Linked DNA regions of Danio rerio. The main gene of each other region encodes a partner of the protein of the gene in region 5 in a complex. Links are inferred from orthologs where the notes say so. Each region holds a gene or a part of one and is shown on either strand. Other genes may lie near its edges.

Region 1 (4,572 bases), on a different chromosome or scaffold from region 5:
AGGAAAAATTACCTCACAAACACACCAGCGGGTCAACTGTCCAAAGTGAGAGAGAGAGGGGGGGGATGGAGTTTTACAGCATTTCTCTCTAGTAGTCAAATAGCGCCTCGTGTGCTGTGCCTTCTTCAGTTTCAATGAAAGACTTTCCAGCAAACTTACAAGCAGTTAAACTGTGCATAATTATCTACCTTTTAAGTAGTAGTAGTTGTGCAAGTAGGAGATAAATGACGTTAGTACGTAATAACCGGTTATGATCGATTACTGAACCATTATAGAATTGTCCCCATCTGCATCGCATAATACATAATAACAAAACATCTTCACGCACTTGCAGTGTTTCCAACTGCTTAGAAACTCTGAATAAACTAAATAAAAAGAATAAAATAAATAATCCTGCCCTAACTATTTTTCACTTAAATGACAATTTTAGATTACAAAACGAAAACACAGACTTCATCCTTTTTAACTGGCATAAGTTTTGTTTTTTTTTTCCCCCAATCATATTTTTTTCTTCCCTCAAATAAAAATAGCAGAGTCAAATCGATCCCTCAATAGAAAATATGCATTTAATTAATGCTCCGCTATAATTTCTATATCGCAAACCTCTGTCAACATTTTTTATAGAAGTCATTGGTTTAAAGATTGTCTTGAGCATCTGATTTTAACTTTGAGCTTCTGTGCTTTCATTTGCTCTGTCTCTCTCGCAGTTTGATAGCACTCTTTGCGAGACAAACAACAAGGTGCATAGATTGACTTTTTTTTTTTTTTTTTTTTAAATTAAAGGCTACATATAGTATACATTTATAATTACATAGTTTGCATTCATTTGTATATACATTTTATATTTTACATAGCTATTAATATGCAAAAATCAAATAGCCTAAATCATTGGATTTGTTTAAGGGTGCTTTCACACCTGTGAATCGATTCAGTTGTTCCGAAACAGAGATTAAAATTGTTACATTGTTGCTCTTTGCTCTTGGAGCGGTTCGCTTTCACATTGCAAAGTTTCTAATCGGACCAAAAGAGCTAAAACAAGTCACGTGCGAGTAAACTCTCCTCACATTGGTCAGAGTGTCAGGGTTTATTTTGCAGCGTCCCGCTCAGCTGTCAGGAGAGGTGGTGGTTTGGTGGTGATTGACAGGGTGCGCGCGTGTGACGTGTCTGAGGAGAGATGCGGTGGGGAGGGGTGAGAAGGGTGCGCGACGATGCCTATTTGAGGACTGGGAGAGAGACGCGAGATTACCGGGAGATCATCACTCGTTTGCGGGCATCCGGAGACTCGCGAAACTTCCCGCCCTACTCATAATTCTCTCTTCATATAGCCGTAAGCCTATTACATATCCATAAAACACTGTGATATAAGCGCGCTCGGATCGGATCGCTTTCTCACTGCAATCGAACCGCTCCAGGGTTCGTTTCAATCGAGCCGAGACCACCTCACTCAAGCGATCTCGGAGCGATTACTTTGGCGCGGAACAGAGCGCGATTGCCCTGTTCACATATGCCAATCGAACCGCGCTAACTGGGCAAACGAGATACGTTCCGAAACAAAAGTGTAGGTGTGAAAGCACCCTAATTCGTAGATTAAGTTATGTTGGCTATTTTTTTAATGGATCTTTTATAAGAACTGTAAATAATTTTTCCAATGAAAAAAAATGTTGGTTTGTGGGTTGCTCCGACTTGTGGCCAACAGTGGACATTTCAGAAAGTTTGCGGCTTCTTTCTCTACTTTTGCTAAGACACTGAGGTGTTTATAATGCAGATCCTGGAAAAGGGTTATCAGCACTGGTTTGGCATCAACTTGTCTGTTTCAAACTGTGACCATCAATGTCTTTATTTTCACTCCTTTCATTTTGCTTATTTAGCACAATACGTCTATAGTTGCACTTGTTACCGCCCGGCGGGTTAACAAATACATGTTGTACATTTATGCAGCAAAACTTAAAAAATACTAATTAAAAAAAAAGAATATTTTAAACCATTTAACTGATACATTAATTGATAAAATATGCATTCCTTCGGTTAACAGTTAATCAATTAATGCAAACACCCCTACTTTGTGTATTTTATACTTGCAATTAACTTTCGGCTGTGAGGTCTCTTGAAAATCTCAAATGGTTTGTACATGTCTATCTTCTGTTTACCAATCAAAATGTTCATCCCTCCTTCAGCACCAAACCCAACCCCAACCAGATCACAGCACCTGGAAATAAACCTGGCATGAACGGTGCCACCGGCTACCAGAAAGGCCTCAGTTGTGAAAGCTGCCACAGTGAGTCAACTCGCCACTGCAAACATCCACAAACAGTATTTAGATACAAGCTGAGTAATTCCCATGCACTATACTGTATGTGTTATCATGGCCTGTTGTTCTTGCAGCTGCCCAGTCTCAGCAGTGGTATGCATGGGGTCCTCCTAACATGCAGTGTCGACTATGTTCGTCCTGTTGGATTTACTGGAAGAAATACGGTGGTCTGAAGACTCCAACTCAACTAGAGGGCGCCACAAGAGCCAGCTCAGTATGTCAACACCTACGTCTTTTAAAAATATATACAGCCAGAAAATGAGTATATAGCTAAATGAACATCATATCTGTCCAATAGGAAGCAGCTCCGCGTGGTCACATGACCCGTCAGGAGGTGCAGGGAATGTCCCCGTTTACCAGCAGTGCGGGACGAGCTAAACTTCTGGCCAAAAACAGGCAGACCTTTATCCTGCAGACCACCAAACTCACTCGAATTGCCCGTCGTGTGTGCCAGGACATCCTGCAGTCTCGTCGAGCAGCCCGTCGCCCGTACGCTTCCATTAACGCCAATGCTGTCAAAGCTGAGTGTGAGTCTTTTTATGCAATATATAAATAAAAAAATGCTGTTTTATACAGTTGAATGAAGATGTGTCTGACTGCCTCTTTCTTTTCTTTTAGGTATGATAAGACTTCCCAAAGCAGCAAAGAGTGGTGTGAAAAACCGGCCTATTCCTCGACCATCCCTCATCAATATAGTTAAAGATTTGGGTATGGCTTCAGCATTATTTCATAATAGAGACATGCTTACATCTTATCAAATTAGCTGACTTTTAAAGCCTAAAGTGTACAGTCAGTTTTTATGTATATGCAAGTGTCTACACACAATGTGCATTGGCAGCAGGTATGCATATACTTTGTCTACTTGGTCTCAACACTGAAGCAGACCACTCGCTTGACATTTTGAAATAGATGAGATGAATCAAAACAAGAAGAATTATTACAGATCTTATTTAAAGGCTGTGTCCAAAAGCTCTAAAATGCTGCCTTTGGATACAGCATTCAAAGGTGTGAAGGTATTAAGGGCGTACTCAAACTATGTACAGTTGCCTTGAACTGGGCCAAAGCACGCTTATCGCCATTCCCATCTCCCCTGGCGGCCCGCACTCGCCTTACATTCGAGCCCTGGCACGCTTACGTCATCGCTGATGCGCTGTTCAGTAGAGAAGCGCTCTCGCTCAGCACAGTGGAGATTTCTTACTGTTCAATGACACTTGTCCTAAAAAAAAACTAACCAATATTCATTTTTAGTATAATCTGAGGGATTGTTTTTGTTTGTCAAGCCACTTCTTTTGATTAAATTAACACTGATGCGAATGTAGTGAGTTGCAACTGTAAATGTAAACACACACCTAAATAACTGCAAAGTATACTCTTGGCTTCGTGGTGGGGAAAAAACTACTCAAAAGTGAATAAGTATGGCTCAAGACTGATCATTTGACTCTTATTTATTATTTTACACAATTTTATTCAGAGTATTCAGAGTAATATGTACTCGTTTTATTTATTACTTTTTTAGCCATTCAAGCTCCTTTGAAACTCAAAGCCCCTCGAGGTGCTCCAACCCCGATCAACCGTAACCAGGTTAACCAGCCTCGCAGCGCATCTGCCCTGCTGGGCAAAAGGCCCTTCGACAATGTGAGTATCCCTTACTAATGTACATTAGCCTTTCCCAGAGGTAGAAAAAGTAGCGTACATTGATCTAAGCACCCTCATTGGCCACAGGCTGGAGGTCATTTGCTCTCCACCAACGGAAGACCGTTTGCAATGGGAATGAGAGCAGCCAACCAGTCCGTCATCAAGAGGCAGAAAGTCAGTCAAGGCGATGCTCCCAATCCTGTGGTGTTTGTGGCTACGAAAGACACCAGGTATGCGTTTCAGGGTGTGTTCACATTTGATTACTTTCATTCAGTTTATGTATTCTGATGCTGTTATGGGACGTTCACACAAAATGCGTTTTTCCTTTGCAACGTGCTACTTTCCTATTGTTTTCCAATGTAAACACACGCTTGACGGACATGCTTGAACGTTACGTTTGTGTCTTGCCTTATTTGACAGCGTTTTTTAGAACTTTCACATGCAGTGCAGCTCATTTCTGTGAGCTTCAAATGCAGTGGACTATTTAGAAGAGCTCGGAGGTGGGGCAACCATTGCAAGCTTTTGTTTATAATTGAAAATTGGCATGGCAACTGCTTTATTTACTGTTACATCATGGCAGAGAAAGCACTTATTGTGGCTTTGTCCAGAATATCCTAAGTTATAGGATG
Region 2 (5,311 bases), on a different chromosome or scaffold from region 5:
TAGCAGACGGTGACCTGTAATGAGTCTCACACACAAAGAAGACATCCGAAACATGCAGTGCTGGTGCTCCTCCAGGAGCATGGTTGAGAAACACTGGTTTACAGCATGTCAAGATGAGAACGAGTCATTCTGAGCAGTGCTCACTGAAGTCCATCAGCGAGTATTAATAAACATGTTCAGTTAATGAGGGAAAGCTTGAGTTCTGATCATGAACACTCGTGTTAAAGAAACTACAGCAGCCGTCTCAAACTCAAACAAGCTCTGCATAGTTCATCTCCAACCACCTCCATCTCCACCACACAGCTGCTTAACAGTCTCTAGTAGTGTTGAACATCTCGATTGGTTGACCAGCTTTAGGAGTGGGGAAAACTGCAGGAATCCAGTTTAAGAGCCATGAGCTAAAGGGTCAGTTCCCCCACACATGACAATAGCGTCTTCATTTACTCACCCTTTAACTCTCACACCACCTTTATTTCTTCTGCTGAACACCAAATACGATGTTTTGAAGAACGCTGGAAAAGGGTAACCATTGACTTCTACTGTATTTGTTTCACACTATTGAAGTCAATGGTTACAGGCTTGTAACATTTTTAAAGAGACAGTACACTCAAAAATCAATATTTACTCACTTTTGACTCTGACTATTCTGTTTGAAGATGTTAAAAAAAAAAAATGTTGAAAACCGGTAACCATTGACTGCCATAATAGAAAAGCAGACACTATGGTAGTCAATGGTTACAGGTTTCCAGCATTCTTCAAAATATCATCTTCAGTGTTTGACAGAGAAGTGAAGCCTATAACAGTTTAACACACTCTCGGGTGAGTGCATTGTCAGTTATGGATGAACTGTCCCTTTAAAATTCTTCAAATACGCCAGAATTGTTTTTTCACCCTCTAAATATGAAATACGTGATTTATAGACGCATAAACTCCTCCACGTGACGACATCGTGTCTTACAACTTTTTACCTTGCCACAGCCGCATCAGTGTCTGGATGGAAAAGGTTTCAGTAATTTAGGGCGGGGCTAGAAATAATTTAAAGTTGAACTGTCTGTGTTCAAGGAAAAGCTATGAGTAATTTAGGGCGGGGCAATCATTAATTTAGGGTGGAGCTATCAGTAACTTAGGGTGAGGCTATCATTAATTTAGGGCGGAGCAATCATTAATGTAGGGTGGAGCTATCAGTAAATTAGGGTGAGGCTATCATTAATTTAGGGCGGGGCAATCATTAATTTAGGGTGGAGCTATCAGTAACTTAGGGTGAGGCCATCATTAATTTAGGGCGGAGCAATCATTAATTTAGGGACGGAGCTATCAACAATTTAGGGCGGGGCTATCATTAATTTAGAGTGGAGCTATCAGTAATTTAGGGCGGGGCTATTATTAATTTAGGGCAGGGCAATCATCAATTTAGGGTTGAGCTATCAGTAATTTAAGGCGGGACAATCATTAATTTAGGGTGGGGCTATCAGCAATTTAGCGAGGGGCTATCATTCATTTAGGGTGGGGCTATCAGTAATTAATGGTGAGGCAATCAATAATTTAGGGCGGGACAATAATTAATTTAGGGTGGGGCTATTAGTAATTCAGGGTGGAGCTATCAGTGATTTAGGTTGAGGCTATCATTAATTTAGGGCGGAGCAATCATTAATTTAGGGTGGAGCTATCAGTAATTTACGGTGGGCTATCAGTAGTTTAGGGTGGGGCTATCAGTAATTTAGGGAGGGGCTATCAGTAATTTAGGGAGGGGCTATCAGTAATTTAGGGAGGGGCTATCAGTAGTTTAGGGTGGGGCTATCAGTAATTTAGGGAGGGGCTATCAGTAATTTAGGGAGGGGCTATCAGTAGTTTAGGGTGGGGCTATCAGTAATTTAGGGAGGGGCTATCAGTAATTTAGAGAGGGGCTATCAGTAATTTAGGGAGGAGCTATCAGTAATTTAGGGTGGGGCTATCAGTAATTTAGAGAGGGGCTATCAGTAATTTAGGGTGGGGCTATCAGTAATTTAGGGCGGAGCTTTCAGTAATTTAGGGTGGGGCTATCAGTAATTTAGGGCTGAGCTATCAGTAATTTAGGGTGGGGCTATCAGTAATTTAGGGCGGGGCTATCAGTAATTTAGGGAGGGGCTATCAGTAGTTTAGGGTGGGGCTATCAGTAATTTAGGGAGGGGCTATCAGTAATTTAGAGAGGGGCTATCAGTAATTTAGGGAGGGGCTATCAGTAATTTAGGGAGGGGCTATCAGTAATTTAGGGAGGGGCTATCAGTAATTTAGAGAGGGGCTATCAGTAGTTTAGAGAGGGGCTATCAGTAATTTAGGGAGGGGCTATCAGTAATTTAGGGAGGGGCTATCAGTAATTTAGGGTGGGGCTATCAGTAATTTAGGGCAGAGCTTTCAGTAATTTAGGGTGGGGCTATCAGTAATTTAGGGCAGAGCTTTCAGTAATTTAGGGTGGGGCTATCAGTGGTTTTCAGTCTTACAGATGAGACCTAAAACAAAGCTCCTGACTATCTGTGCTCATTAATAACCTCAGGGCACTTCTGGTAAAGAGTAGGGGTGTAACCTCGGTGTCCTGGCCAAACTCCCTCCATCAGCTCCATCCACTGAACTGGCTCCATCACTGTCTCTCCACTCCACCTCTAGCTGGTGTGTGGTGAAGCACTGGCGCTGTTGTCCTGCACACTGGTGGTGTTGTCGTCATGTGTATGAACTGTATAAATGCACATGATTCACTTACTCTCACTTATAACTGCAGATGAACTGCAGAATGTAAAGGTGAGCAGGCGTGCCGTCTCCTCTCCTCCACTGAGCTGAACACAACAGAGGAGCACATCACATGAACCACAGCCGTCAAATCGAGGTAATCCACAAGATTTATTGGTCAAATGCAAGAGGTAGAGGTCTTGCAGTCAGTTATATTCTCTGTACATCAGATCCGTCAGTAGTGCAACTCGTGCAGAGATGAAGGACACGCAGAGCAGAAGAACATCACATGTCAGATATACACGGAGAGAGAAGAGTCCAACATGTACAGCAGACGAGCTCCGGGAGCCGCTCCTCCACACAACAACACAAAAACAAGAACCATTAAAAAGCAAGAGTTGGAGAGGCTCCAGCCGGCCCGCCACACGCTCTCAGACGGCCAGGAGACAGAGCCACGTCCTGAAGCGGAGCTGATCCATGCAGAGCGTCTGTCCGCATGCTGGAGGAGAAGCAGACCCCGGGGGACTGTGGGAAACCCTGAGCGCAGTCGGTCTGTCCTGTGTGTGTGTGTGTGTTACGTGAGAGGTGTGTGTGTGAGGCTCTGCGGGTGCAGCTGCTGCCATAAATGTTGCTGCTGCACCGCCAGCTGCTGACTCTGATCTGATGATGACAGGATGTTGACCAGCGGAGACACACAGTTCTGCGGGATGATCAGACCTGAGGAAAACACACACACACACACACACACACACACACACACACACACACACACACACACACACACACACACACACACACACACACACACACACACACACACACACACACACACACACACACACACACACGGAGGAGGAGTGAGGCTCTGGCTGTGTCCCGAATCACACACTTCTGCACTGTATAGCATGTTAACAGCGTCTCTGCAGATATCATGATGTCAAATTTAAGACCTTTTACGATCTTTTTAAGACCATTAAGTATTAAATTTAAGACCTATATCGCAATATCAAGAACACACGACAGAAAATGTAGAAGCACAAAATTAGGGGTAAAATAAAGTTATTTAGATTGAACAGTAGTAAAGTCAGGTTAAATGCACCAGTGAACTACAGAAAAACAAACATCTAAATGCAGATTTATACTTTCACCTGGCGCCGCACAACTCACAAAACAGATTAAGACTTTTATACTCGACACGTTCACCATTGAGATATATTTTTGACAGGGGGCACTCCAAAACAACAGACAGTAAAATCAGACGAGTAAAAAGATCATCATCATCATCACTGAAGATGTTTTTGAAGGCCTCTTTTTTGTTTTAACAAACTCATCCCTCAGAGTTTTCCCAAAGTTTTACAAAAGCTTTCCTCCTTTCCCATGGCTGTTGCAGTTTCTAGCCAATAATTATTGGTCAATCTGGCAAGCAGAAGTGTAGCTGTGATAGAAAATAGGTAAAGACTTGATTATGTATTATAGCCTACTGTACTGTTCACTCTTCAAATAAATCCCACTATCAGTCCCATTTTATCACTGAAATAAAGTGCACACGTGTCTGCTGTACAGTGTTGTGTGAAGTACAGTAAAGTGCTTCAGTTACTCTGTTGTGGTAATACTACAGTTGCTATGGTAAGTGTATAATAAACTCCCCAGTGCTTAAGTTTTTTACAATATATTGTATATTATTCTACAATTCACCACACTTTACTGTAGTAAAACTGCACTGTATTTCATTTATCAGTTCACTATTCTTAACACTACAGTACGCTGAAGCATCTCTGGAAAAGCACGAGAGGAGTGCGACCGAGCGAGAGCAGATCATTCGCACGTGAGCAGCCGGTGTTTTGAGAGCTCGCGAGCAGTTTTGTCTATGAAGGAAACCGGTGCGTGAGCAGAGATTCGCTCTCTCGTATTACAGCGCTCCCGACTTATAAAACTGCACTTGCGACATTTGTCAGTGAAATAACGGCACACTCTGCCAGCCGAAATCATCACGCACACTCAAAGCGAACTACCGCAAACACAGCGATGACGTCACATTCACCGCGCGCACTGAGTTTAATAACAGAAAGCTGATTGGCTATTGCAAGCTGACTTTTTTGTAGTTGTAATACCGCAAATTACAATTGGACTAGTGAAATACAGAAGAACTACAACACCCCAAAAACCAAGCAACAATAACAAGAATTTAAATGAGCATTAGATGTAGCGGTACATGGACATCACAAAAATAAGACCAGTGCAGAAATATTTAAGACCCAGAACAGCGAATTTAACACTTTTTAAAGCCCTTAATTTCGATTTTTTAATTTAAGACTTTAACACTTTTTAAGACCCCGCGGGGACCCTGGTTTAATACAGTATCTGTGTGAGTGGTGTGTCTGAAGTCCGGGTTTAGTAGAAACACTATGCTGCATAATAAAGGACTCGCAGTGAATATACAGAGCATCCTGAGAGAACTGACAGCGCTTCACTCTCCACATGTGTATGATACAGCTTTATTACTAAACGCATTAAATTAATTGATTTCCTCAACATTCTACACACAATCCCCCATCATGACCATGTCAAGAAAGAGTTTTAGAAATTGTTGCAGATTTATTAAAAACAAAAA
Region 3 (4,796 bases), on a different chromosome or scaffold from region 5:
GTTTGCATTGTGAGAAAATGCAGTGCATTTTCGTAAACTGAGTGACAAAATGCAGTGCGTTTTTGTAAATTGTTTGAGTGTGTCAATGCAGTGCATTTTCGTAAATTGTTTACGTTTTGAGAATTCAGTGCGTTTTCGTAAATTGTTTGGGTTGTAAAAAATGCAGTGCGTTTTCTTAAACTGTTTGCGTTGTGAGAATGCAGCTGTTTTATTATTTTTTTTGTGTTAAAAAAGCAGTGCGTTTTTTATTTATTTATTTTTTTTTATGTTTGCGTTGGGAGAATTCGCAGCACAGCTGTCAAATGGATAAGGATCTTTACTAAATTTGCTTGCGAGTTTTGTAATTGCGCGTGTTTACTTAAATTGCAGCACATTGAGCTCTCTCGGCCACTGTACATATACCCTTGATTTATGTTTTGCTTTTATAGAAAACTGAAAATGACGGTCCTTGTTTTATGTCGCATATTTTATTAGACTAATCAGAGCAGCAGTATAACAGAAGCCTAAAATTTATTTAGTATGATAAAACTGCTGTGCTGCTTCACATGATCACAATTTGGGGGAAAAAAGGAAGAGGTTGACTGTGGCATAATAAAAGCTCCACTGTTTTTCTGCTATGTCGCACTCTTCTCTTATCAGCAATTGCTTGATTGCTTGGAAGTCCTAATTCCAAAATGTCATTTATTTCTTTAGAGGCAAAGCAGAATTTTCATTATCGTTATTTCAGTCATCAGTGTGACCTGATAGAATCATTTGTAAAACAACATAATTATTTAAAATATTTGTTTGAATATTAGTTTCCTAAACTGAAAGTGCAACCCATAATTTAACATTTTAACATACATTTGGATAAAGATAGCCAGAATGGCTTTAAATTCCCCTAAAATTCAAAGTATTGAGCCATAAATTATAAATCTTTTTGAATAATTACAAACTTTTGATTTGTAGTGTGTATTACACTTTTTTTTGTAAATAGGGTGTCACACAGACTTCCTCAACGGCTGTCTTGTTTTGTTTTTTGTAGCCGGTCAAAGTGTCCCAGGGATCTACCTATAGTGAGCTGCTCTCCGTCATTGAGGAGATGAGCCGTGAAATTCGGCCTACCTACGCCGGCAGCAAAAGTGCCATGGAGAGACTGAAGAGAGGTACTCCAAAGCCTTCTGAGCACAGTACAGCATGCAGCACATTTGTAACAGTCAGTGACGTTTAGCCCCCTGGAGTAATGTGAGCCTAAGGGCAGTCGAGAGAGTTGTTCTCAGTTTTTCAGTTCTGTGTTCGTGCAGTGTTGCTTTTGCCTGCTCTAAGAAAGGCTTTTGCATTTTACTCTGACTTATTGTTCCTAATGCTGCTTTGTGCCAAGCCTTATACACTACCTGACAAAAGTTTTGTCGTCGATCCCAGTTGTAAGAGTAAAAAAACTTGATCTCTGGTTGATCTTTTGGAAAAGTGGCAGAACATCGATTTCTTTTTTTTCAGATGAATCATGTTTTGAACTGCATCCCCAATCATTATAAATACTAAAGATGACCTATTGGAACGCGCTTGGACCCACGATTCTCTCAGAAATCAGTCTAGTTTGATAAAGGAAAAATCACGTTTGAGGTTATATTCAGTATGGGGGCGTGCGAGAGATCTGCAGAGTGGATGACAACATCAATAGCGCGAGATATCAAGACATTTGTGCTGCCCGATACATTACTAAACCACAGAAGAGGGCAAATCCCTCAGCAGGATAGCAGTCCTTATACATCAACCTCCACATCAAAGTTCCTGAAAGCAAAGAAGGTCAAGGTGCTCCAGGATTGGCCAGCCCAGTCACCAGATATGAACTTTATTGATCATGTCTGGGGTAAGATGGAGGCAGTGAATATGAATCCAAATAATCTTGATGAACTCTGGGAGTCCTGCAAGAACACTTTCTTTGCCATTCCAGATGGATTTAATAATAAGTTATTTGAGTCATTGCAGAGATGTAGGGATGCAGTCGTCCAAGCTCTTGGGAGTCACAATATTACATACACAATATTAATTCTTTATAATAATATTAATTTCTTACATTTATATAGCACTTTTCTAGACTCTCAATTGGCTTTACACATCGGTGGGGGATCTCCTCATCCACGACCCGTGTGCAGCTTCCACCTGACGCGGCCATATTGCACCAGACCACACACCAGCTGATTGGTGGAGAGGAGACAGAGTGATGAAGCCAATTATGATATGGGAATGTTTAGGAGGCCATGGTGGACAGACCACATGCTTTTAATGACCACAGAGAATCAGGACCTCAGTTTAACATCTAATCTGAAAGACGGAGCTCACTGAGCAGCTGCAGTATAGAGTCCCCTTCACTATACTGAGGCGTTAGGACCCACACAGACTGCAGGTTGAGTGCCCCCTGCTGATCTTACAAACACCTTTTCCGGCAGCAACCTAGCTTTCCCATGTGGTCTCCCATCCAGTTACTGACCGGGCGTAGCACTGCTTGGCTTTAGTGGGCGACCATGTGAGATTTGCAGAGAGCTCGCTGCTGGCTTTTTCCACTGCACCATGACTTTATATTCTATACTGGACATTATTTCTGTTAAGTGACAAGACTTTTGTCAGAGCTTATTGTCCTAATTAAATCATTAAAAATCAAGGCATGATCATATTTTATTTTGGTAAAATAAGTGTAATCTAGAGGCCTTTGCCTTTCATATAAGCCACTTCTGGTACCAAATGATCAACCAGAAGTCAAGTTACTATTTGTTGTTCCTAAAACTTGGATAAGCAGCAAGACTTGTGTCAGGTAGTGAAAATACATGCTTGGTGTTTAACAGTGATGGAAAAGGAGATTTATAAGACCTACAGGCCTAAAGCACCATCTGCTGTTAAAAATTAAGCTCAGAATTGCTTCCAGACAGAATTTCGACATATTACAAATATCTCAGAATTGATCCATGAATCAAACGACACCGATTAGTCGTCCCAGCTCCTACAGTTAGTTCTGGAATTTTTGCAGTCTGAAAACCATTCTGGAAAATGTATATCAGTGATCAATGTAACATGAGGATGCACAATGCTATCACATTTAAGCAAGTTGCATTTTTCAATCAATAACATTGACTAAGCAAATATTTAAATAAGTACATTAACACTAGTTTTAATGTCAAGAGTAAAGCTGTGGTCACACTAGAGTTTGTGTGTGCGAAATTCTGTCGTGTGGCAATGCGAAAAGGGGCGGGATTAAACAAGATGATTAGCCATTTAAAAAAGCAAGCGATTGGTCCATGTTTTCAATTCCTGTTCAAAGAGGTCATGTTTTCACTCTTGATTGGTCCCACGCAGTCAAGTGATGTGCTTTTGCAGGTCAGAGTTCACCAATTTTGAACTTTGCATTGCAGCGACCTGTAAAACTTGACGCATGACCCTGCGTTTCTGATCTGACGCATTCGCGTGCGTATGAATGGAAGTCTAAGAGGACGAAAGTCCAATGTGTGACCGCAGCTTAAGCGTACATTATTACTCAGGATTTGTTAACCCTGGGTAAATTGTGAAGCGTGTTCAATATTTCCTAAGTGTGTGAAAAGCCCTAGAATTTCTGTTAAGCTTTTGTACCGCCAGATAAATGAAGTCTGGTGTTTATCACTCATTTTTAATACAGTGTTAAGCTGTAAGGTATATATTGTGTTACTGTCGCTATATATTACGGAATAATTTTGACATGCACTGCCATCTAATGGCAATGTTAAATTTTCTGCATTTAAGACTTGTTATGAAAATATAAAAGCAAATGGCCTGACATTGCTCAAATTAATAATTGAGAGTGTTTTTATTATCATGAGGTTTTATTCAATGTGGCTTAATATGTGTTTGTGTTTTTCCTCAGGTATCATCCACGCACGTGCTCTCGTCAGGGAGTGTCTAGCGGAGACAGAGCGAAGTGCTCGCACATAACATCAACACACACACACATCCTCCCTCTGGTACTCATCTCCCCATTGTTCTGTCTCTCTCTGCCCAGCTATTTACAACACCATCTCTTTCTGTCTTTCTTATTGACCTTTGTTCCATTATGCATAGCCATCTCCCCGACGTACACCTCATGTAGTGTTACTGCGATTAGCATAGACATTTTTTAAGCCCAATTTTTGCAATTCTGTATTTAAATAAAAAACAAAATCAAGCATTTTGTCTGAATTTCAATTCCAGAGAACAAGTGTTTGTTTTAGAAAGGGAGATGGGTGATTTTCATTCATTTTATTTGGCTTTAGTCACGACGTACATGCAAAATATAGATAAAAAGCATTATGAAAATGTTTATTTGTAGTGACATATATATATAGGTATGACAATGACGGTTCGTTAACCACACAAAAACGAGAGAAGTGGATTCTTTGACGTGCTATCATCACAGTGTTAACAACGTGTCTTACGTCTTTGATTTCTCAACCTTAAAAAATTAAGTATACATAAACAATAAGGATAATATCACTAAAATAATAAACATGATAAATATAAAAGAATAACATGAAAATTGCAGGGTTACAGTTCAGTCTAGCGTTTTACTATCTTCGGATTGTCTTTCATTGTTGTTTCATTCAGACAGCCATTGGTCAACAGCACATTTAATGCACAGGTTTGAGTAATTCTTTCATCAGCTGTATTCAAATACTTATTATACAAATTAAGAAGGCAGTAAGCTGGTGTTCACCTCTTTTCCTGATTCATAGGAGTCTCAGATCCCATTGGTAACTCAATTAAAATGATAGTTCAGGAATAAATGGAGGGCCAGGCCACTCGAAACTAGATTT
Region 4 (5,145 bases), on a different chromosome or scaffold from region 5:
ATGAATTGGGTAAACTTAATTGGCCTTCAAGAGTTCACACTTAACTTATAATCAATAGAACGTAATTGACATGCTGTCCCAGGAGAGAGCCCTGAGCTCGTAATATCCTCGAGCCCAGGGCTCCCTCCCGTTAGAAGGGCTAGAGGGGAGTTAAAGCTCAGGTAGGTCTCGAGATCTCCCCTGCTTGTAGCCGTGTGAGAAGTGTAAACTAAGGTTGTCTTGGGTTAATTTGGTTTAGTCGATTGGCTATGGTGTATGCTTTTGGATGGTGGGAGGAAACTGAGGAACCCAGGGAAAACCCATAAGAAAACGGGGAGAACATAGAAACTCCGCACAGAAAAGCCTACAAGCCCGATAGGAGGTTGGACCAGCTGTGTTCTTGCTGTGAGGCAACAGTGCTGGCCACTGGGCCACCGTGTCGCCCTATGGAAAAAAAGGGTGGAAAGTAGGGGTGGAAGGGGGGGGGGGGCTCCAAGACGAATATAACTGGAGTGAAAAACTTTGGTTATTTATAATGCTTCCGTAATCATCTAATAGAGCAGATTACAGAGCTAATGAGGTGCCAGCCGTGTTGATCATAAGCACAAGATCCTCTCGAAATTATTTTATAAATAAATCACACACAGTGAAAGAATGTGTGTGTGAATGAGAGAGTGTATGGGTCTTTCTCCTCACTGGGTTGCAGCTGGAAGGGCTGCATAAAACATATGCCAGAGTAATTGCCGGTTCAATCTGCTGTGGCGACCACTAATAAATGAAGGATAGTGAGTGAGTCAATGCAAGGCTATGTGTTGACTTTTCTTAATGGTTGGTCTTTGGTGGCTGTTACTTGCTCCCTCGCTCATCTTCTTTAAGCTTAGTTCCTGTTTTATCAGGGGTTGCCACCGCGGAAGAAACCACCAATTAGTCTGGCATATGATTTGGATGCCCTTCATACCCGCAACCCAACCCCGAGAGTACACTAATTCATGAACCCCTGTACTGGAAAGGCAGTTTCATTATGTTTATTCATTCATGATTTTACCAAAAGTGACTAATTAATGAGGACTATTTGATTTTTAATTAAAGCTGTCAATAACAGCATAAATAGGCCCAGCCAATCACACTGTCCTTATGTGTTTGTGGGAGGGAGGACCCAGGAAGAGAATGTCACTAACCATTTCTGCATATCTAGGTTAACAAGGGTTGATGGAGCATTATTTTATTTTGAAGGTGATTCAATTATTGGTGGGGATAGTTCAGTAATTGATAGATATTGGTGGGGACATATGCCCTCCATCCAGGCCAAATCTACACCTTTGCTCTGGACTGTGGGGGAAACCGGAGCACCTGGAGGAAACCCACACAAACACAGGGAGAGCATGCAGACTCCACCCAGAAATGCCAACTGACACAGCCAGGACTTGAATCAGCAACCCTCTAGTTGTGAGGCGATAGTGTTAACCACTGAGCCACTGTGCCACCTTAATGAGGTAAATAAAAGAAAAAATAAATAATAATAATAAATTCACAGCAGATTGAAAGGCAAGTACTTTTTCGGTTGTTAAATATATTATTATTTCATATACAATATATTGTTTAAACTATTAAAACCTCAATAAAAGTATTTTTTAAGAACAACAGACACAGACAGATAAAGTAGCATGCTAATAAAACCAAACAAAGTGTCAGCATTTATTATTGGTGTTAACTGGGTTTTGCCACTCATATAAATAGGTTGCTAAAACATTGTGCATCGGGTTGTGATATGTTCAAAACTAAATTAAACAGTGAATCAAGTATATCAATCTTGTTTTCCACAATTGACAGCTTTTAAAAGACACTTATTGTCATAACAAAAAAACTGGCAAAATATGAAAACGTTATTTTAAATGATTTAAATGCACATCAAAACCATGATTAATTGAATTCTGTGGGTAAAACAGTCATGAGTGTCGTGTTGAGGTTGCAGTCTGTAGACTTCATTCACCCTCCTTCTTCCTTCCCTCCTCTTTTCTCTCCTCCTCTCATCTCATCATCAGGAAGCTGCTGCGCTCGAGCCTTTTCTAGCGCGTGAGTGAGTTACTGTATTGTACTGTGAATCTCGGGAGGGGGGCTGCAAAAAAATCTCCTATTCTTACTGAGGTCCACCCCCCTTATTTAAAACTTCTTAAGCCAGATTGCTTTCCAACAGGTCACAGGACGTAGATGCCTTCTTGATTCACATATTTATTTTGTTTTTATTTTAGTTTATGGTTTGGTTTTTTAACACTCCGGGAGGGCAGAAATGGCGGCCAACATGTACCGGGTCGGAGGTATGTCCGTCTATATTCTGAATTAACGCAAGTCAAAACACAGGCACCACCGTAAGACCTGACTGGAAGGCAGGGACTCATTTCAAGCGAATTCCCGAAACCGGCCGCTCACTTTTAAACTCTTTAACACGTGCAGTGTCCTTGCAAAAGAAAACGATAACGTGGATGCAGAATATTTTGGGTTCTGATTTGGGTCAGGCCTCTTAAACTATCATAGCCGCACTAGCATTTTAGCAAGCAGGCTATGTTGCTAGCTAGCCACATCATAAACAAATAATCACTACTATATGTAAAACAATCGGAAACGCGCACTTAGAGCACGTTTCTCTTAGATTTACCCACATAGGTTAAAAGCGAGATATGCTTGCTATTTAACCATTGCAATTTTAGACGCCGATGTTTTTCTTTGTGATCATTTGTCTCATTTTTTGGCACGTATCCATTAGTTACGGGTTCTCATTCGGCATGCAAGGTAGCAAAGCGAGCTAGCATTTAACACCCCTCACTCGATTTCCTTAGAGAAACCACATTCAACTTCTGCCCACTTATTTGCCGAAGCGTTAAGAATTTGCACTGTTTTGATGTGCATTTGTTGTCACGCGTGTAATTAACAGCGTGTATTTAACAATACCGTCGCGTCGTTTGTTTGTGCAATTAGCCGGCTACATGCCGCGGAATTTGACATTGTTTCATGGCGGCGATAATGCAGTGCCATTGAAAATGCTTTTGCAGCTGGACGAGCAAACTTCCTATGAATTCACTGCAAATCTAATAGCATTTGTAATAATTGAATACTTTGCGCGGTTACCTTATGACATGCTCCTTGTGTGATGTTATGTGTTGATACATGTGTAAGAATGTCATTTAAATGGCAATGAAGAGAAAATGCTTGTTTGCATGAATGAAGTGTTTGTTAATGAATGCACATTCTTCACCTCGTCGTCTTGTTTTTGACAAATGCTATATATACAAATGTATCCCAGAAACAAACCATTTCTTAGCCTCAGTCAAAGGCCAAGCTGAAGGTCTTAGTGTCTTGTCAGGTCACACAACACAATTGGTAATGTTTTAGAATAGTAAAAAAAAACATTGCATTATAAAATGTGCCATTTCTAGGGATTTTCATCATTACCGTAATGTAAGTGCAAGAAGAATTCCTGCAATCGAAATGATAATGTTATCAGTTATGCCTAACTGTAAGGAATGTATCCTTTACCCAAAAATTCTTTAGTGTGCAAAATTGTCCGAGGCATATGCACAGTGCTGTGACTTGAAATACATGGTGTTTAAGTTTACATACATGCCTTTAGTTGCCATGATGGCATCAGGTAGAGAACTTATCGATGGAAAAAGTAAAATTTCACAAAAAATGTATGTTGCTGGTTTACGAATGTGTATGTCGTTGCCAACAGGGCAAAAATAGCAATAATGAGATCTGTTGGTGTTACTTCCATGCTGTTTTCTAAAGTGTGATATGATGTCACAAGTTTCAGTCGCAAATGTTTCAATCAGAATGTATAAAGCAAATAAACTGATGTTTGAATCTGATGATAGTTTTTAGATTGTGTAAACTGATGTGCAATTCGATTTAATTCATTTAGATGAACAGAAATTGGTGCATGAAAGCATGTCTGGTGTTTAATGTAGTTTTCTGGCTATAAAAGCAGAAACAAAACCTGCTTCACTCCTTATTTTCATGCTTAAATATATGGTCCACAAGCTTATATCACAATATTATATATAAAAATGACAAATGGCTCATTCATACATCCAAACATAGACTCTCTTAAATGTTTACATGTCTGTACTGCACTTCAATACTGCAACTAGATCGGCATGTGGCACATGTTGTAATTCGATTTCTGTTTAGTTCGATTATGACATTAATTGGATTGTTATTTTTTTATTGTGGTTTACATGGTAGACTCTTAATCAGAGTATTGTCTCGAAATGGATTATTATTATCCATGTAAACAATAATGGATGTTTAAATCCATCTCATTTGGCTACTTTACTAATTTACTGAAGTGGCCAAATGAGATGGATTTAAACATCAGTTATTGTTTACATGGACAACAATTATCTGATTTGAGACAATACTCTGATTAAGAGTCTACCATGTAAACCACAATAAAAAAATCTAATTAACGTCATAATCGAACTAAACAGAAATCAAATTACAACATGTGGCACATGCCGATCTAGTTGCAGTATTGAAGTGCAGTACAGACATGTAAACATTTTAATCAAACTGGTACTGTTGTGTAGGATTTTCGCCGCATTTTGCGTCAAGATACAGTAGTCTATACCAGGGATGGGCAAACTTGATCCTCGAGGGCCGGTGTCCCTGCAGAGCTTTGTTCCAACACTAGTCAAACACACCTGAACAAACCAATCAGTGTCTTCAAGATCACTAGAACTCTATGATGAGGTCTATTTGAATAAGGTTGGAGCTAAACTATGCAGGACACTGGCCCTCCAGGATCAAGTTTGCCCACACCTGGTCTATACACAAACACACGGCTGTTTGACATTATTCTTTGCACCTACCAAGTCAGTGAAGGACTACAGACACCTGCATCGTGAAATGCAGAGGTGTTTTTCTCAATAAGGTGTCTGGTATCAAATTTCATTAAAACAACACTCTTGCAGCAGTTCATACTCGCATTCAATATTTCGTTTGTCTAAGGGGGCATACATGAGATATTGTTGAATGAAAGTGAAGTGCCAAATTGCAGTTAAAGTCAACAAATTAAAAATAAAACTCCAGAGGAAATGTGGATAGTGTGGTGGCCCAACGAAATTAATCGAATTATGTGCTTTTAACATGTAAAACATAACAGGGACATTC
Region 5 (5,336 bases):
TAAGGGTCTCTGACACATTGCTTTTATTATTTATCTTTAGTTTGTTAATCAACATTAACTGTGTGCATTAGCAGGCAGTTTTTGTTATGTTCATTATTTAATATAGGCGCCCTCAAAACACACAGCCACACACAAGATGGGCTTCCAGCGTGGATTATAATTTTATTATAATAATAAATAAAAAATTAAAGCTTTTAATTTGTCACCTCTCATTATTACCTTTATGGCTTTTGTGCTTTTATAGAATAGGAGTTGGTAAACATTATCAAGGGCGTGCACAGATGGGTAGTATTTTAATTGTATGTAATTGGCCGCTCTGGCATTTGTAATTGTTGCTCTGTTGACTCTAATGGCGTATATGCAGAAGCATGCAGAAGGACTTTTAATTTGTCAGTAATCTGGGTCAAGCACTTCCGGTGAACTGTATACTATTACAAAATTGGCGCGTTTAAGGTCTGATTTCTTTGAAAGTCAGCAATCTCCACTGGCTGAGTGATATCCGATATAAAGTGGGTCTCAGATTATACAAGAACTACTGCATTGAATTACATTTTCCCCCGCCATGTCTTTAAAATATGAACATTTATTTTAGCCCAGTATATTCAATGGAGTTCTACTAATACTGACGGGCGTGTGCATGTAAACAGCTTTTCAACTTGTTTTACGCTTGAGCAACTAAATGAAAGCCAAAGTCTATTTAACGGATTGTATTTTAATTACATTACAACATCGATGCTGTAAAAGGAACCGTGTAAAATGTAAAAAGTCACATTAACTGTTCACCGAAGGGTTTATCAGTATGGGAAGAAACACTAGCTCTGCATATACCCTATGGCAGTACTACGCACTGCCTGCAGTAAAGACACACCCTTTCAGCCTGACATGGATGAGAAGATATAGGTGAACAGTCATTCTTAAAGCTTTTTTGGAAAACAAAAGTGTTCTCGGAGCTTGGGATGATTACAGATGAACCACTGAAGTCACATATAAGGGTTTGACAGGGTTTGTTCCGGACTTTGAATGTCTGCGGACCATTGCTGTCTATGAAGGATGGGAGTGCTCTCGGAATTAATTGAAAATATCCTCATTTAAGTTCTGAAGATGAACAAAGGTCTCAGGCGATTGGAATTGTCATTTTTGGGCGAACTAACCTTTTAATCTGATGGCGTATGTAACTAGTTGCTCTGCTGTCAGCTGGCTGTGTTTCAGCATTAGGGTCAGTTCTATGACATTTGAGTAAATATGGGAAACGCAGTGACACATCTGTCTTTATGAATGGCAAGTTCCTATAATAAGACATGGCGTATGCATATAAATAGAACTGACTGCTAGGTTTGCCTCCTGCTTTAAATAGATAATCTTGGCCAAATCTAAATGTGTACGGATGAGAATGTAACTTCTGCATTTTCCTCTCTTGAGAAGTCTCCTCGACCTGTTGTAAGCCCAAGCAGCTGAAGTCACCGGAGTTCAGACTCTCTAAGCATGTCCCGGGCTTCTTTTTGAGATTGTCACAGCACACGCAGTTCACAAAAGTTAGTGTTTATTTCACCGTTTCCCCTAGACTCATCAATCTCCGGGCCTGATATGCGATTAAAAGAAGCGCTGATGACATTTCATCACCTCTGAAACTGGGAACTGCGGCTCTTGTGAGTGTGTGGCATTTGACAGATACCCGAAGCGCACTACTTGTTAGCCTGACTTCTAACCAGGTGCTCATATGGGTTTTTTGTCACTCGTGCACCAAAAACCCAGCCAGGTGGACAGACAGCCGCAGATTATTATGGGCTGTCGCCAGCGGCCTGGGGTTTCCCTGGAGACCATGTGACTGGTGTTGTTTTTTTTCTTCCCTCTCTTTTAGGAGTTGTGTTTATTATGGGATGTCAGAGCGGCCTGCTTATTAGTATTATGGGATGGCAGAGAGGGCGGGAGGGGGCAGTGTCTCCATAGCAACGCGGTTGCTAAGGGGGCAGGGACTAAGAAAGGGGAAGGCAGTGTATACTTGCTACTGTGTGTGAGGGGGAGATGAGTATTATGGTCTGTAGGTTGCGAGGTAACTATGCAGAGTTGAGTGAGTGTTGTAGGGAGGGGGCAGTGTGCCTGGGATTATTATGGGATGTCTCTACCCCCCCTGATTTCTTTGTGTGTACGAGGATGTTCGCTTCTGGTCACTGACGCTGGGGAAAGGGGAGAAGAGTGGACGACGTCTCCCAAAGATTTACACCTTTTCGGAGCTTGTTTTTTTATTTTTGTAGTGGTAGGTAGTAACCTGCAGATTTCGCGTCAGAATAAAAGCTGATCGTAGCGCCGACCATCTACACCTTGGACTGACCTGTAAGTCAATTCCTCCCACCCACTTCCAACCGCCCGCGTTAACGATATAACGTAGATATACAAATGTATGTTTTTGTTGAGTTTTTTCTTAATGTAGCTTAAAACAGAAAACAAACATACAAACGTAATATTACTGGTAACTGTTACTTACAACTGCTATACCTCGCGTCATAACGCGCCATATGGTGTTTGTCGGGGGCTTCGCCACCTCCGCGTGGTATTCTCATGGAGGAAAGTTTTAGGTTGACGAATATAACCAGAAACGACAGCAGATAAGCGCTTTAACTCAACTCATCCAGCCGGCTGCCATTTTCCCTGCAGCCGGATCACTTGACTCTGTTTGCTAGCTTTGCTAACTTGATTGACAGCTAAGTTGAGGCTTCCTTTGCTCGGACCGAACGAGAAAGTTTACGAAAAAAGCCGAAATTATACGACTACGTCAAACTCTTTTTAACACTGCACGCCGTGTGATGATGACATGCCAACATGTTTAATTGATTTCATTTAATCTAAACACAGTTAGCCTCCCGTGTCACTTGTTTCTCTCGGTGTTAACATGGGGTGCTGCTAAAGCCCATTACAAAATACTGTGGTCATTTCTGTTTTATTCAGCGTCCAAACGGGAAAATGTCGGGGAGTGAAGACGACCGGGACCGCTTTGAACCCATGGGAGACGGTAAGGCTGTCCAGAACAGAGTCCGGACCCTCATTAACCACATCATGTTATATAACCTTCCCAAAATGAGCCCAAACATGCAAATGAACTGCTGACTTGTCAACGTAGATCTGGACAAATGGCCGTTTCTGTGAGGAAGAGTATGGCGGATTGAATGTTTGTATGTTTTGTTTGTTTGAGCCTCCAAGCCACGTGTTACCGCATCGCAGTACCTATTAAGTACAATCTTTAGTTTATGAAGGAGCATCAGCATGCAGAAGTCACTTCCTGATTCACTGGCTTGTATTACAACCAGCACATTTAAACGAAGAGAAACCTATTTGATACTGTACTTAACTTATTAAAAGCGAAACTAGCTTGATTTTGTACCTTAGCAATCACACCGCGCGGAATATTGTTTAGCATAGTGTGTCGAACCCATTTGTTTTGCTTTTCCTCTCCTGGCTGCCCTCAGTAATGGCGCTGGTATTGCAGCCTATCAGCAGAGAGCTTATAATAAATGAATGATTTCAAAAGCAAGAGCCTTATGCCCTAGTTTCACAGCTGCTAACATATTTGGACAGTTGGGTACATCTTAAGGCAGGAAGGCATGAAAGTGATGTATTCTGAAGACTAAACTGTTGTAATGGCTAGAAGTTCATCTATTAAAGTCATTAATTGCATTTAGTTCTTAGTCCTTAAGAAAATAATTAGGATTTCACATATTCCAGTCTTATGCATAATATAATATTCTCTGCTTGGGAAGGATAGGACAGACATGCAATCAAAAGAAAGAGGATTGTGCAGCTTTTAATTTTTCATGTATGATTCATTCACGTCTGTGTTTTGAACAGATATCGAAGAACAAATATCAGAAACAGATACTCCCAAATCCAAAAAGAAGAAGAAAGCAAAGAAGAGTCGTGAAAGCAGGACTAGCAAACGACAGAAAGTCATCAGAGAGGTGACACGCAAACACAACATACACAAGGACACGTTTGATTGAACAGTGACATAGTTTCAGCATTATTCAGATATAATTACTGTTCTTTTCAATTATCTATTGATCAAAAATGTATCGCTGAGTTTTCACTGCAGCTGTTTTCATTGTTAAAGGGCCATGAAACCCCCTCTGTTTTAGCAGGGTATTTTCACACCTCTAGTTTAAAAACGTCAGCAAAGTGGGTGAGTCCAGCTTTGTTTAGGTGGGAGTGGCGAAAGAGGAAAAGGTTTGCATGAAAAGAGGAGTTTGATTACATGCACTACAGCAGCCACACAGACGCAGGGAAGATAGACCAGGGGCCTGTTTCAGTAAGGAGGTTCAAACAACTCAGAGTTTAAACTTGAACTCTGAGTTGATTTACCGAGATATTAAAAACTCTGAGTTTTCGGTTTCAGAACAGCTGATCTGAGTTGGGTCAATCAACTTCGAGTAGACCAACTCAGAGTTAAGCGCGCACACCGTGACTATAAAAAGGCATTATCAGTGGAGCGCAGACATTACGAGTGACTATGGCAATATCTTATAAAAGAGATCAGCATTTCTTTCTCCAGCTGAACTTGATGTTCTCATGCAAAGTTATAGCAAATATGAGTGTATATATTTGAAAAGAAGCAGCCATCAACCAGTTAGCGTGGGAAAACAGCTGCTCAAGATAATGCCTAATTTAACTTTTTAGGTATTTAAATATTTAAGTATAATAAAATAAGTAATGTAATTTGTGAAGTTTATATATTTTTTTCTAAACTTTCTTTTATACATTTATTAGTTTTAAATGATTTAACAGTGCACTTGTGTGTCTGTCTTTTTTATTGATCAAGTGATAGAGGTTAATATAACATTTAGAAGGTAAGCAGTACTAAAAATAATTTTTAGAAAGAATAATAATCCCATTAATCTAGTTACAGTGCATATCGAAGGTGAATTCAATTTAATTATTTATTAAAAAAGCATAAGCCATTCTAGTACAGTTCTTCTGTGTGTGACTAAAATGTAGGCAATAGCTATGTTTCCATCCAAATATATTACATAAATTTATGTGCAAAACTGGAATATTGCATAAAAGATGCGAATAAAATTCCATCCAACGAGTCAAAGAGAAAAAAATTGTCACTTCCTGATTTAACTGGCACCAAATATCAACAGTAAAAACAGAATTTACTGTGGTAGAAGAAGCTGCGTCAATTAATTCTTTATTTAGCCTAATTAATGTACTTGTGCCTCGATGTCAGAAGACAATGCTGAAACACAATGAACACGTGGGGGCGTCTGAAGCCATGAGACGCGGAGACTCTTGACACGCACCAAACGTTCGGAGGTAATTAATAATATACACTAATACTGAAACAG
Region 6 (5,239 bases), on a different chromosome or scaffold from region 5:
TTAGACATCACTGCATTTAGTGGGGTATCTGAGTACAAGACACTGAATATGTATGTTTCACATGTTTACTGCATTTGCTCGTTGCAATTCTAATTTGTTCACAGCATTGTGCAAAAGTAAACACACCCTTATTTACAACAAGCATAAGCTTTCTTTGGTTAAAGCTGGGCACAACTGTAAACTATATTGCAGGACATATTGGAACTGAGCCTACAACATACACAGGTCTGTAAATAATTCATGAAATTGTTCAATTTAGAAGACATTTTCAAGAAAATAAAGATTAATTTTTTTTTAAATTTGCTTGACATATTTTTGACAGCTTGTTCAACATTTTTTTATGTAATCACTCAAGTAATGAAATGAGGACTATTAGCTTTATATGGGATGACTATTCAGCATTTACAAGTTTAGTTAATTTTAAACGACATGACATAAGCAAATGATAATGTTAAAAAAATAGAGAGTTGTATGAAAGCAATTGATGCATGTCCAAAAGCATCATTTGTTGGAAGGAATGAGAAACTGCTACTATGATGTGCACAAATGACTAATTGTTTTGAGAACTGCATTAACTATTGTGCAAATGTAAATAGTGTTGTGAGAAATGCACCAAAGCGACTGAGAAAAACTGTAACATGTCCCTGTAGTAACGCGTATAATCATATCATCAAGACACTACATCCGCAAAGCAACCAGGATTAAAAAATCTGACTCATCATTGCAGAAAGGTGTGAATTAACTTCACAACAAATGCATCAAATAATCATTGGAAAAGTTCTTACTGTAGTATTTCTTACAAACGTTACGTGAGATCTGCTTTCTTCATGTCAGTCACTGTGCTGTTTATCTGACGCAGCCAAGGTGGAGATTAACGCACACTCTAACAGGCATGTGGGAATGGTGGGCGGGGAGAACTAGCATTAAAGGCACAGGCAACAAAAACAGCTACATAGTGTTCAGAGCAGAAAATCCCAATAATCTGAATGGTATAATAAATAATCTGATGGGTGTTTTGAGCTGAAACTTTACAGATAACTGTGGAGATACAAAAGATGTATCTTAAATCTTGAAAAATGGGTATAATAGGTGCCCTTTAAAACTGAAAATAGCCATATCAGAGATGTTGGATGGTGCTCTTTTGACTCTGCCGACAAGCAACCATTCAGCAACACTAAAGAATGCATCAGGGCCAACCCAATTGCCAACACTGCTGGTTCTGGAAGAAATTTCCCCATTAATTTTCTCCCTACAAAATTTAAATAAAAAGTCTTTGTTAAGGGGCACAAAATAGAATTGGGATCAGACCATATACTACAGCCAATTTCGTTTATTCAATTTACCTATACCGCAAGAACTGTGGGGGAAACCGGAGCACCCAGAGGAAACCCAAGCGAACACGGAGAGGCAAACTCCACACAGAAACGCCAACTGACCCAGCCGGGACTCGAATTAGCAACCTTCTTGTTGTGAGGCGACAGTGCTAACCACTGAACCACCTATCACCACAAGTGCATTATAGTTACAAATATATAACAACTTTCTACTCGCACCCTCACAACCAACCACATTACCCTAGCAACCTTACAGCATTACAAAATATCAGCACTTGAATAAATCAAAGATGGACTCTTTGTTCTCTGAAAGCAAGTCCAACATGTCTGATGCTCGCCTCACAGTTTCATTAGACATTATGTAGTTATTTTTTTGCTCCTGCGTTCCATCACTTGTTTATATCTTTGTTTCAAACTCCTGTAAAAGCAACAGTTGTTTATTTCTTTCGTTCCGCCTCTAGCGGGTCCAAAGTAGTACAGCAGTGGTTCAGCCATTGGAAGTAGGCGGGGAAAGGCGAGTGATGCTGCCACACAGAGCCCCTTCCCCTCCCTCTCGCGCGCGCTCCAGCTCCGTGGCCCGACTCTGTGCTCTGCTCCGGAGTGAAGGATCCCGCTTTGTTGAGAAGGTGTTCCAAAACACGCGGGCGAATCCGAACGCGAACACGCACACCGGCCCGTGGAACGCGGCTTCATCAAAATATGTGCACTGTCTCTTTAAGATCCCTTCTCTGGTCCGCTTCGTATTGATCAATCCACCATTTTCCAGCGCACAGCACTGAGCGGCGGCGGCAGAGAGAGAAAGCCCTACCTGGAGACGCCAGGCAGGACCGGGGGCAGAGTCATGGCAGCCAACATGTACCGGGTCGGAGGTAAGAGATCATGGTTGGCTGAAAAAAATGTCGTGCCCCTTTTATGTGTGTCGCTCTCGTTCATGCTTTTTCGCAACAGGGCTTAGCAGTTTTAGGTTTGTCCTTCCTCTTTTATTTTTTAAAGTACTGTGGGACTACAGTGAGAGAGGAGGATGAGGATGGTGAATGCGAGATGAAGAGGGGCACTCTCTCGTTTCGGGACCCCGAGAATGTTTTACGCTACTACAAACTGGCGCAACATTTACTGCCGTTAGCATGATGTAGCGTGTGCAAGTGTCATTGAGTGTTAGTAACAAGCGGGCAACTCTCAAATTTACACCGAAGAAACGCGTTTGAGCTTTTAAAGTTAAAGTTTGAGGAGCACGCCTCACTTTAGGGACTCTGGCTGCTTGGAGAATTTAGTTAAAGTTGGTTGTAGATTTGCACTTTCGGACTTTCTCCTTAAAAATATAAATTCATAACAGTATTTGCAATTTCTAAATAGGCAAAACATTAGCAGCTATTGACTATCAAAGTACAACATTGCTCCCAGTCAATAAATAGTGCTAATATTGTTTGAAGTCATATTTCAGACCAGATATTTAAAGTATCATGGGAAACACTATATGAAGCATCTCACAAGTCCACTGAATATGTAAATATAAAACCTCATGTAAATATAAAAACGTCACCTCAGTAGTTAGAAACACTGTTTTGAAGGTAGATGATGGTTGATGTTCAAACCGTTGACTTTAAAATTAATGTAAAGTTTTTAAAATATTTCTACATTCAGACTTTATCTTTAATAATATGATTTCAGAAAAATATTAATTGCAAATTCTAAATAGTGAAATTATATTAGCAGCCAAAGACTATCAAAGTACAACATTGCTCACAGTCAATTAGATAGTGCTAATGTTGTTTTAAAGTCATGCCTACGTGTGATTTCAGCCGGAATATTCAAAGTACCATGGTAAACAATGTATGGAGATGTCACTGAATGAATGTGCGAATATAAAACCAACTTTACCTCAGTATTTTAAAGTATATTTTATGTAATATGAACAGAGAAAGTTTTGGCATATAGAGGTAAAGCTAATACTTGAAGTCCGTCTCAGTGAGAAGCTGTGGTGTATGAAAAAATACCAAATATAGACTATATAACGCTTGGTGTTAAAGAATAAACTTATTTGGGATGTGTTTTTACAAATTTGTCAAAACACACTGCTTTTTTCCACCCCTAATTTGGGTCACACATAAAAATTGTTCACAATTATGTGTAATTATCTGAAGCTCAGATACACAGTTAAAGGAATAGCCTAGTTAACCCCAAAATGTGCCCACTGTTCCACGGAACACAAAAGGAGATGTTAGGCAGAATGACAGCCTCAGTCACTGTTCGCTTTCATTGCTTCTTCCATACAATGAAAAGCGAATGGTTACCGAGGCTGTCATTGTGCCTAACATCTCCTTTTGTGTTCAGTGGAAGAAAGAAAGTCATACAGGTTTGAAACAACATGTGTGTGACTGAACGACGTCAGTAGTTTTGCGCAGTTTTCGGGTTATCCTGATTGCGCTTGGCTCAGGAACTGATTCTCTGTTGGTATCAATTATCCATTAGGATCTCTGCTGTTGATTTTCAGGCAATGAATGTGTGCTTACAGTGTCCGGTGTGTAATTATTGGTTTAATGAGAGTATTTGGACTAGAAAGTTTGCTGTTGATGTAGGAGAGCTGCTTGAACATGAAGACAATATGAACTTTTATCAGGAGCATTATGAGTGAATTTACATATGTTCTAATGCGTTATAATTCTTAGTGCTCTGCATAGATGTGACTAGTGTTTGTGAATCAAGTATATGGTATTCAGATTAGGGCTGTACGATATTGGAAAAATCTGACATTGCAATATATATTGTGATTTACTTCGTTATACTTGAAAAGAATTAGGGTCCACTTTATTTTAAGGTTCAGTTCTTGTTCTTTGCAAACCCTTTTGACTTTTGCTTTAATAAACTCCTTACTAATAGTTATTAAGGTAGTTTAGGTGTTGGGTAGAATAATATCATTCAGAAGATGTGCTTTGTAAGAACTAATGTGCAGCCAGTATCTCAATACCATGCATGCTAATAAGCAACTACTGGTAGTTAATAGTGAGAATTGGTCCCTAAAGTGTTACCTAATGTATTCATTTTGATTGACTGGGATGATTCTGTAGGCGACTGAATCAGAACATACAATAAACAAACTACAAGCAGAGATAAATGCAACAAAAGAATGATTAAAGTGAAATAAACAGTGCATACATTATGGTTTTGTATATGTAAATGTAAAAATTACACTGCAAAGTCAACTCAACATTGCATATCTTTGAGATGTGACTATTGTGGATGCACACATTGCGATATCGTTCCTAAAATGATGTATTGTGCAGCACTAATTGATATGTTTTTTATTTTTTATTTTTTTTTAAAGCGCTCTTGATATATCTGCTATATTTATGAAAAGGTGCAATGTGGATGCATGCAGTATATCCATCCCAAAAGCTAATGATACAGATGAACTGGTATAAATGGTGGAATTTATTTTGAAGGGTTTAAGGCATAGTTGACCAAAAAATCTATATTTACTCACTCTCAAGTGGTTCCATTCTTTTATGAGTTTCTTTTTTCAAAACGAATATTTAGAAAAATGTTAGAAACCTGCAATCTTTGAATTCTATAATAGGGAAAACATCCTTTTGAAGTCAACAAATACAAAAAAGAAAAACAGGTTTGACAAGTGTATGGGTGAGTAAACGATGACAGAATAAAACATTTTGGGTGAGCTATACTTTAAAATTCCCATTCCATACTCCTAAAACAATTTGAGAGCAAAAAGTGATCTATTTTCAGTATCTCTTCTCTCAGTATTTTTGCTCATCCACTGAAAGTTCAGGCAAGCAAAACTTTTCAGAAAGTTTTACATTTATCAAAAGTAATCAATATCATGAATCATTAAACAATTTAATCTAAGTCAATTGAAGAAGTTTCTCATCACTTGAATGCTCTGAAATGTC

Evidence for each region.
Region 1: chd4b (region 5) and mta2 share a complex: the UniProt entries of both Homo sapiens proteins name them as parts of the nucleosome remodeling and deacetylase (NuRD) repressor complex. The link is inferred for Danio rerio from reciprocal best matches to the Homo sapiens genes CHD4 and MTA2.
Region 2: chd4b (region 5) and cdk2ap1 share a complex: the UniProt entries of both Homo sapiens proteins name them as parts of the nucleosome remodeling and deacetylase (NuRD) repressor complex. The link is inferred for Danio rerio from reciprocal best matches to the Homo sapiens genes CHD4 and CDK2AP1.
Region 3: chd4b (region 5) and cdk2ap2 share a complex: the UniProt entries of both Homo sapiens proteins name them as parts of the nucleosome remodeling and deacetylase (NuRD) repressor complex. The link is inferred for Danio rerio from reciprocal best matches to the Homo sapiens genes CHD4 and CDK2AP2.
Region 4: chd4b (region 5) and mta3 share a complex: the UniProt entries of both Homo sapiens proteins name them as parts of the nucleosome remodeling and deacetylase (NuRD) repressor complex. The link is inferred for Danio rerio from reciprocal best matches to the Homo sapiens genes CHD4 and MTA3.
Region 6: chd4b (region 5) and mta1 share a complex: the UniProt entries of both Homo sapiens proteins name them as parts of the nucleosome remodeling and deacetylase (NuRD) repressor complex. The link is inferred for Danio rerio from reciprocal best matches to the Homo sapiens genes CHD4 and MTA1.

What each region holds. Positions count from the first base shown.
Region 1 is NC_133182.1:17,904,625-17,909,196, forward strand, and holds part of mta2 (metastasis-associated protein MTA2), read left to right. Parts: intron 1-2,174; coding exon 2,175-2,275; intron 2,276-2,382; coding exon 2,383-2,522; intron 2,523-2,606; coding exon 2,607-2,835; intron 2,836-2,926; coding exon 2,927-3,016; intron 3,017-3,824; coding exon 3,825-3,943; intron 3,944-4,030; coding exon 4,031-4,173; coding exon of another isoform or gene 4,174-4,187; intron 4,188-4,572. UniProt on the Homo sapiens protein: May function as a transcriptional coregulator. Acts as a component of the histone deacetylase NuRD complex which participates in the remodeling of chromatin.
Region 2 is NC_133185.1:50,698,848-50,704,158, reverse strand, and holds the start of cdk2ap1 (cyclin-dependent kinase 2-associated protein 1), read right to left. Parts: upstream 3,238-5,311; 5' UTR 2,561-3,237; intron 1-2,560. Other genes in the region: sbno1 (protein strawberry notch homolog 1), read right to left, coding at 3,275-3,417. UniProt on the Homo sapiens protein: Inhibitor of cyclin-dependent kinase CDK2. Also acts as a component of the histone deacetylase NuRD complex which participates in the remodeling of chromatin.
Region 3 is NC_133176.1:43,109,598-43,114,393, reverse strand, and holds the end of cdk2ap2 (cyclin-dependent kinase 2-associated protein 2), read left to right. Parts: intron 1-1,024; coding exon 1,025-1,145; intron 1,146-3,871; coding exon 3,872-3,939; 3' UTR 3,940-4,168; downstream 4,169-4,796. UniProt on the Homo sapiens protein: Acts as a component of the histone deacetylase NuRD complex which participates in the remodeling of chromatin.
Region 4 is NC_133187.1:27,003,352-27,008,496, forward strand, and holds the start of mta3 (metastasis-associated protein MTA3), read left to right. Parts: upstream 1-2,063; 5' UTR 2,064-2,124; exon of another isoform or gene 2,125-2,228; 5' UTR 2,229-2,266; coding exon 2,267-2,294; intron 2,295-5,145. UniProt on the Homo sapiens protein: Acts as a component of the histone deacetylase NuRD complex which participates in the remodeling of chromatin.
Region 5 is NC_133191.1:34,980,836-34,986,171, reverse strand, and holds the start of chd4b (chromodomain-helicase-DNA-binding protein 4), read left to right. Parts: upstream 1-2,139; 5' UTR 2,140-2,331; intron 2,332-2,943; 5' UTR 2,944-2,958; coding exon 2,959-3,007; intron 3,008-3,840; coding exon 3,841-3,950; intron 3,951-5,336. UniProt on the Homo sapiens protein: ATP-dependent chromatin-remodeling factor that binds and distorts nucleosomal DNA. Acts as a component of the histone deacetylase NuRD complex which participates in the remodeling of chromatin.
Region 6 is NC_133192.1:39,376,333-39,381,571, forward strand, and holds the start of mta1 (metastasis-associated protein MTA1), read left to right. Parts: upstream 1-1,884; 5' UTR 1,885-2,175; coding exon 2,176-2,203; intron 2,204-5,239. UniProt on the Homo sapiens protein: Transcriptional coregulator which can act as both a transcriptional corepressor and coactivator. Acts as a component of the histone deacetylase NuRD complex which participates in the remodeling of chromatin.